2 linked regions of the Xenopus tropicalis genome follow. The protein of the gene in region 2 purifies or fractionates together with the protein of the main gene of each other region. This does not show direct contact. Links are inferred from orthologs where the notes say so. Each region holds a gene or a part of one and is shown on either strand. Other genes may lie near its edges. The genes, in order: sap130 and arid4b.

Region 1 (3,822 bases), about 69 Mb from region 2:
ATGCACTTTATCATATCAATGTGTAAAATGTAACATAGGTTCTAAATTGCCCCAGTGAAACTACAGTGGCCATACATTAAAAAAATGTGCACGGTTGTTGACCTCGCCCTGATATGCCCACCTTGGTGACATTAGATTGATCGAATTATTTGGGCTGAGGGATAAACATTAACATTAAAAGGATTTAAGCGGTTGTGATGAGGAGCGCCTACGACAGGATTTTTAAATCAGCCCGAACATGTGCCTAATTTTGGCCCCATACAATGCCTTCTGGGGCTTGGTGTTAACACGCTACACACATGCCACATTTAATCCTTAGCACTCACCCATCAGTTGCAGGTTTCTTTCGTAGGATGCTGGGTCGAGGAGAGGACCCCTGTGCAGGGGAACTGCTGATCCCAGGACTCTGACTGTGGCTCTGCATAACTGTAGTGCCAGCAGGTGTGGCACTGAAAGTACTGTTTATTGGATTTGCAACAATTGTGGCACCCTCAGCAAGTACAACTGTAGTGGAAAGTAGTATAGATCAGCTGAAATCTAAACCAGAGCTACACATATGTAAAAATCAAACTCTGACAACATTAAAAGGACATTAAAAATCTATTTCACTTGGGGGGGGTTCCAAAATATTAGGCACCCCCTGCTAGTGAAATAGATTGCTAAGCTTTTCCTTGGGCTGGTGCTGCTGTTAAGAGAAAAGTGCACCGGCCCATGGAAAAGTTACCTGTACTGCACCGGCATCTCTGCGCCTTCAATCTTCTATCCTTTGGCGCTTCACATTCTACACACGCAGGGTAGAGTAGTTCTGCCGGGTTTTCTCTTCACCTTTAAGTTTTTTTGGGGGTTTTTTTTTTTTTTTTCAGAGGTGAAAAGTACAGCTATGAAAACACATGCAAACAAAGCACCAATATGTTTCATTTAAATTACAATATTTTTTTTTAATTGGTGAGTATTGAGTGATAAAGATGAAGAAAAAAGAGATTAGTAAAGAAAGAAAGAGGAAAGAAATGACGTCTACACTAGCAGGAGGACTTCTACATTTATGTGCTTAATGAGTGAAAAAAGGGTATAGCAGCAATGATCTCAGACAGCTCTGTGGCAGTGGGACATATCTATCATATATTTGCATGGAAATTCAAATGAACTGCCCATGTGGGCCTGTATAGTGTTTTTCAATCTTACAAAAGTCTAGCCCTGTCTAGGGAGAGGACCAGAGGAATATCCATTATCAATATTTGTCACCGGAGAGTGCAATTCATACAGACATAGCATAGTAAGACTTGGCACATCATTAACTAATATGCCAAAATGCACACACTTGCTGCGGATGCTACACTGAAAGTAAGAATAAATGCACCTAAGGAAAAACGTTTCAGAACAGATTATTAAGCTTATTCTAAGAATCAATCATCACACATCCTCATTAAATCATTCCTGTGCTTTGTGGTACCATTGCATGGAATAGCATATATCATTACCAGAAGCCTTTGGTTCATTTGGAGCTTGCTGTGAGCTGACTGAAGAGGTCTGAACTCCCTGGTTAGTTATTGATGTTGCAGGGTGGATTGCCTGGGTGTTAATTGAAGTTTGCTGGATTCCCTGGGTATTTATAGGTGTTGCCTGGATGCCCTGTGCACTAAAAGGAGATGGTTGTATCCCCTGTGCACTAACTGGAGCAGGCTGGATTCCCTGAATGTGGCGTGTGTGTGATGTGTCCATGTTTATCAGCTGCATTGGATTCAGGTGGACTGTGGAAGCCACAGACTGGGCCGTGATGGCAGAGTTTGGAGCTTGAGCTGAAACTAAAAAAAAAAATAAAAGTTAGCCAAATTACCTTCTAAAGGTGGCCATACACATTACAATCTTTTCTGCAACCACTGGTCGCAGGAAAAAGATTGTTCGTACCCTCCACTAATGTTGAGAGCTGAATAGTCAGATTTGGAGGTAAAAACAAATAGAAATTCTGCCCCTATCTGATAATTCAGGGCTAAATGCTTGCTCGGGCACCTTCAAAGGCACCCAATCAAAATTTTCTGTCCCACCCAACTGACGAAACAACCACTATCCAAGGCTTTTGTGATATTGGTCACCTCGTCAATCCAACATACATTATCATACAATACGATAATATCAGTGCATGTATGGGCACCTTAACAAATGAATAATTATTTGACACAAAAATACACAATTGTTTCAACAATCGTTTCCATCAATTGTTGTAATCTATTACTTAAACTCCTGGGTGCTAATAACTGAAACAATATACACTAGGTAAGTATAGCACTCAACAATTTTTTTTTATTTTATTATAAAATATTTTTGTCACAATAATATGACCTGTTGAGTGGTATACTTACTGTACATGTGTTTGTATATTTGTGTGTATATATCTCTCACCACATTAAACTATTTAACAGCAGCTTTTTATTTTAATATACCCACTTTTATTCCCCCTAAATGTTTTCCTGAGATACTAACCTGGGTATTGTCGTATGGTGGACACAGAGCTAGTAATGGGGGTATAAGTGTGTGCTGCCAGGGGATATGCAGACGGAGGATAGGTTGGTAGAAAGTACTGTAACTGCACTGGAACAGGTTGTCTGCAAAACACAAAAAGGTTACTGATTAAAAGATATATCTGACCAAGGGTAAATTTTAACAAGAAGTGAGAGGAAATAATGTGTATGCATGAGTTTGTGTACATGTGTAAGACACCTCTCTCTTTCCTTTAGATTCTTTTTTTTATTTTTGTCTCAGAATTCTCCCCAAGTGTACACCTACTTATATTCAATGTCAGACTAATGATAGATGCATTCCTAGATAAGTGGTTTTCAATTCTTGTTTGTTTCTGTTATTATATTTTACAGACATTTATAAGGATCATCATATTCCATTACACAGTAAAACAGAATAAGAATACATTTAACTACACACAAACACTGATCCATACAGGTGGTAAGAGGAACCTGCTTATTAAAGCTTACAAACCTCCTTTTTTCTAGCCTCATTTACCAAAGGCAAAGATAGAGAAAAAGGAAAACATTCAGGGCAGTATGTAATTTGTTTATCCTAAAGCCCACATGGGATCATCTCTGATTTTAGATCCGAACTTTTTACATGCTTTATGAAGGACAGGTCATGTCAGACCAATTTAATTGCTTTTTATGATGAGGTAAGTAAGAAGCTGGACAGTGGGGATGCAGTAGATATAATCTATTTGGATTTTGCCAAAGCATTCGATACCGTTCCCCACAAACGACTGCTTTCTAAGCTAAGGTCTATTGGTCTTAGTGAAGTCATTTGCACATGGATAGAAAACTGGCTATAGGATCGGGTACAGAGGGTGGTTGTTAAAGGCACATTCTCTACTTGGAATAAGGTTCTCAGTGGGGTCCCTCAGGGTTCTGTACTGGGTCCACTTTTGTTTAATTTGTTCATAAATGACTTAGGGGAGGGTATTATGAGTAATGTATCAGTGTTTGCAGATGACACAAAACTCTGCAGACCAGTCAATTCTAACCAGGATGTGACATCCCTGCAGCAGGATCTTGACCAACTGGCAATCTGGGCAGCTAAGTGGCAGATGAGATTTAATGTGGATAAATGTAAGGTCATGCACTCGCAAGTCTTTTTCGGCGATTTTGGGAAATCGCGCCGCCACGTGTGCCATCCCACCGGTGGGATGGCGGGTCATGGCAACTCGGGGAGATTAGTCGCCCGCGAACAGGGAGTTTTGTCGCGGGCGACTAATTTCCCCGTGTGCCAGAGCCCTAAGTGGCAGATGAGATTTAATGTGGATAAATGTAAGGTCATGCACCTGGG
Region 2 (4,591 bases):
ACGACCATTCAAGGAAAGGGTTTTTTTTTGTGAATTCAATTTAAAAAAAAATGAATAAAAATGAGAGAGAAAATTGCATTTTAGCAACCCCCCATAATGTTATATACATAATATGTTACTTGTAAAGTATATAAATAAAACAAACAGATTTCAACAGCATTGCATATACCAGAGCTTTGTTTTCTTTCTTTTGTTTTTAATAGGACATCCTGATAAATGCAACTTGCACTGCTTTGGTCTTTGCATGCAGGGGTTTAATAATTAAATAATAAATAATTTAAGTGGAAACATTTCAAAATATGTTCTGATCACAGGAAAGACTGGAGTGCTGGAACCTTCAATCATTTCACATCATTGAAATGCTTGTTCCTATCACTATTAATTACATACTTGGAAAAGAGATTGATGCAAGCCTGGACACTGCATACTGTATTACTGTACCATTATATAGCAAACAGAAGAGAGTTTTGTCCCCAGTCAAGAGGAATTAGAGATTTTCTGACAGCTAATACAGATTTTTAGCAGCTACAGTGTTGTACAGTTATTATTACTGCCACAAAAGACAAACAAAATGCAATAATTTGACAATGACTTCGACATTATATAGTCTTATTTTATAGTTCAACAAGTATTGAAAGAGCCATCAAGACATAAGTGAATTTTCTTATAGAACAAATATTTCTCCTCTACCCCAAAACTATTATAGCATTAAAAAAACGCTAATAACTATAACAGACTCAGCTTCAAATCCGACTGCATATAGTAATGTAGCTCACACATAATGGAAATAGACGGAAAGAGATAAAGATGCTTAAAGCTATACGATGAGAGAGCCAAACGGTTAACACCTTAAACAAAGAAAACACAGAGCAACACTATGTATCAAGTAGGCAACTGTCCTCCCCGCTCAGGAAGCAAACATGTAGCATCTGCATTTTAGCTTGATCGGCATTGTATCAATTTTAAGGCTGTTTGTGTACTGAAGCTGCTGCACCGACGCTTCTACAGCCTCATCTTTAGTACTGTTGATAAATGCTTCCACATTACAATGCTAACTCAACAAATGACGCCATTTCTGTCCCCGGGCCAAGTGTATTGGGAAGATGAACAAAATCAGACTGGGGCGTAAACAGTGCAACTAAAGATGCATCAACGGCAAATAAGCAAGAAAAAGACTGGAAAAAGCAACAATAACAACGTAGGAGTAAAAAAAAAAAAAAAACAAAGGGCGGAGAAGGCTGAGCAACAGACACCTGCCAGTGGCTGCATAGCGCGGCGCCGGGAGATGCCAGTCACATGACAAAAAACAGCACCACTTCTTCGTTCCGCTGTTACTGATATCGCTCTGCCATGTTGTACCGCTCTCATACCATTAAGCTGCAGCATGATATAACGCGGGCTGCAGCGTCCTTACTCTGTAACTTTCCCCTAAGGCTGCAATGAAGCTGCACTGGCATCTATACGCCTGCTCGATGTACACGGAGCTGTATTTGCCAGGTAACCACACGCAAGGTTACTGCAGATCTATAGGAAGCCGGCCTGTCTAGTAGGGTACAAGGCTGCCTTGACAGCTAACGTTTACGAAAATCGTAGTACTGGGTACCCTTGCAAGCCTACAATATGCTGAATAGAAATACCAGCAACTCGAGGGGTTGGAGAAGCTAGTAGCTGAAATTCGACACCAGTCAAACGGGAGACTGCGCTTCTCCCCAGCTTTACTGCCCAAGAGAACAAGTACATAAGCAAAAACTTTGGGCTAGGGCTGAACATAGACAGCTGTGTTCCTAACTGGATACAAAGAGAGCTCTAACACACCATGTGGATGCTACTTGGTACCCGGCTGAAAGCCGGCATTTTGTCGAGTTGTGAGCACGGGAGATGTTGCTGCAGGACTGCAAACACCATGCACTACCCCCGCCCGATGCACTAACAATGTACAATGCAGCCAGCGGAACGTGTGCAGCAGAAAGAGAGAACAGGGCACGTACACCTTTGGGGGGCATGTGAGGACGGGGAGATAGGAAATGCAGCTTGTAACCGGCTGCACAGAACAAGAGGAAGCTCGACACCAATACCAGCGGAAGGGCACTAGGACATGGGGCTGAAGCAGGGACGTCTAACCTGCGAGCCTGACAGCTGTTGTTAAACTATGTCTTCCACCTCCCTCATAGCCTTCTCCCTGACTATTAAAGGCTTAGGGAAGAGGAACTGCCAGTTATAGATCAACAACTGCTGGAGGGTCGCAGGTCTGAGCATGTTTGGATTAAAGCCAAGAATAAACTATCGAAAAATCCACACATGAACCCTATGCAGCGGCATCTAGCATAAAGCGCCTGTGCCATGCACCCTCCTGATGCTGCTTCTCCGGGTATCTTGCATCCCGGCAGGGGGTTGCGTGTTTTCCCAATACTGAAAGCAGAGAGAGGAAAGAAATGACTCTTACATGAGTGGATGCTCGGTGCGGCGGTACGTCTCTTCCTTTCTTCAGCAGAGCCTTGATGCGTCCCTGAAAGCTCTCAAACTCGGGTATCTTAACCCTCAACGGATTAAGCTGCAGCCGCCGCCGCCACCTCCTTCTCCTCTTCAGTCAGCGACGGCTGCTCGGCAGCGTTATCCCAACACAACAAGTCACCTCCCTCCCCCCCACCTGCTCCACGACACCAATGCTTCTCGGTATCCCCAGCAGTGCCCAGGTGGGCGCCAGGGCACCTGCAAAGTGACAAAGCAGGTTTGTCAGCTCGTTCAGCTTCTTCCCGAAGATTCACTCTGCACCCCCCACCGGACAAACGGCCCGTTCCGTCATCCAGACCGCTAGCTCCTCCCACCGACTGGACTAACTGTCAGCATCATCCTCCCTCTGCAGTCTCTCATTGGGTAGCCTTTCTAGTTAGAGCGACCGCCTTTTCTTTCCAATTGGCTCTTAGCAAATCTAAGGGAAAGGTTAGCTCACTTAAGTGAAGGATGATGGGGAATTTAGTTCAGGCTGTAAACCGACACCCCTCAGAGCATGAAGCCTTGCGCTTAATGAACTACATATCCCAGAAGGCAGTGCAAACTGTCGGTGCGGTAAAGCTATTTTTATAGAGGCACAAGGTATGCGCCTGCGCATACGGCTTGGATCAATGCGTACTGTAGTTGTGAATGCGAATGAGGGAGCCGGGCGGGTTCCTATTTGGGTGTGGAGCTTCGTTAGCGGAAAAAAGCGTTTGCTTTCGCTGACAGGATACGTGTAAGGAGGTACTGCTGCTGTTGCCCATACACACAGGTTTAGATTCGGTTAGACCTGGGAAATCACAAGTGTAAACATTACATTACAAGGTAAGTGTCTACGACTGAGGGTGATCCATCTGTCTCTATCGCTGTGGGGTGTGTAACTCTGTTCGCCTAAACTGACCTGTACATCCCTTGGCCATTGCTTCTCAGTGATCGACAGAAGTGGATGAGATTCAGGTTTATAAGTTTATGTATAAAGGCAATTTGGCCCTTCTAGCCTGTGTTGTTGGAATTTTGCTAGTGCTGCTTATTGCAAATCATAGAGCCTATTGAATGACGTGTAGCACACGCAAATACTTTTTTTTTGTTGTATAATAACATATTTGTAACATTTTATAATATGACTATATTAATAATATATGAATAATTCACTTTTACAGTTAATGCTGCTAGCCTTTTCTGACTAAAGAGAGTGAATTATAGAAAGTGGGAGTTTTGTGCACACTCTAATGATCATGGTAGAATGGTGACATTTTTGAGGGGAAGATATTAATTTAACACTTACCATTGGAGAACGGCTACCTATAATTATACAGTGAATAATGTGTCCCCTATTGTAAAATATAAGGATATTATAAGTTACCAAAGAGTATCGCAGGTCGTGGAACTCTGAGTTGACTTGAAATATCTTCATATTTTACAATAGGGGTGCATTTTTTTATTTATTTTTTACATATTATATTTTTAAATTCTATTATTTGATATTATATTTTTTTATTATAAAACACACGTTTCAGTGAGCATCACTGAGCACTGATGACATTACTAAGTACAAACAAACACACACACATATATATATATATATATATATATATATATATATAAATATCATGTACAGGATATTAATAATATGTATCATGTATTAATATATAGTGGTTCATTACTTTATGCAGAGGTTTATTCTTCCTAAATCTTTATTTTCTGCCTATGCTAGTGATGAAAGGCTAAGTCACTTGGGGGTGCCAAAATGTTAGGCACCCCCCAGTGACTTTAATCGCTTACCTTTTACCCCAGCTGGTGCCCCTGTTAGGAGAAAACTGCACCAGCCCGGGGTACCTGTAGCGAGCGCTTCCTCCTTCCTCTTTTTTCTGCTGGCAAAATCCCTGGGCCGGCGCATGTGCAGTAGAGTGAAAAACCGCCTTTCTTGTTTAAGTTCAGCTTTTCACTCTACTGCGCATGCACAAGCGTGCGAAACAGGAAGAAGGAAGCACTCGCTGCTACCCCGGCCTGGTGCTGTTCTCTTCTAACAGGGGCACCAGCCCGGGGTAAAAGGTAAGCGATTTAAGTCACTTGGGGATACCTAACATTTTGGCACCCC

The links.
Region 1: the proteins of arid4b (region 2) and sap130 fractionate together in Homo sapiens (co-fractionation; 4 studies listed by BioGRID, with this or other methods). This does not show direct contact. The link is inferred for Xenopus tropicalis from reciprocal best matches to the Homo sapiens genes ARID4B and SAP130.

The regions. Positions count from the first base shown.
Region 1 is NC_030681.2:125,400,731-125,404,552, forward strand, and holds part of sap130 (histone deacetylase complex subunit SAP130), read right to left. Parts: intron 2,601-3,822; coding exon 2,479-2,600; intron 1,803-2,478; coding exon 1,479-1,802; intron 505-1,478; coding exon 327-504; intron 1-326. UniProt on the Homo sapiens protein: Acts as a transcriptional repressor. May function in the assembly and/or enzymatic activity of the mSin3A corepressor complex or in mediating interactions between the complex and other regulatory complexes.
Region 2 is NC_030681.2:55,944,408-55,948,998, forward strand, and holds the start of arid4b (AT-rich interactive domain-containing protein 4B), read right to left. Parts: upstream 2,841-4,591; 5' UTR 2,446-2,840; coding exon 2,444-2,445; intron 1-2,443. UniProt on the Homo sapiens protein: Acts as a transcriptional repressor. May function in the assembly and/or enzymatic activity of the Sin3A corepressor complex or in mediating interactions between the complex and other regulatory complexes.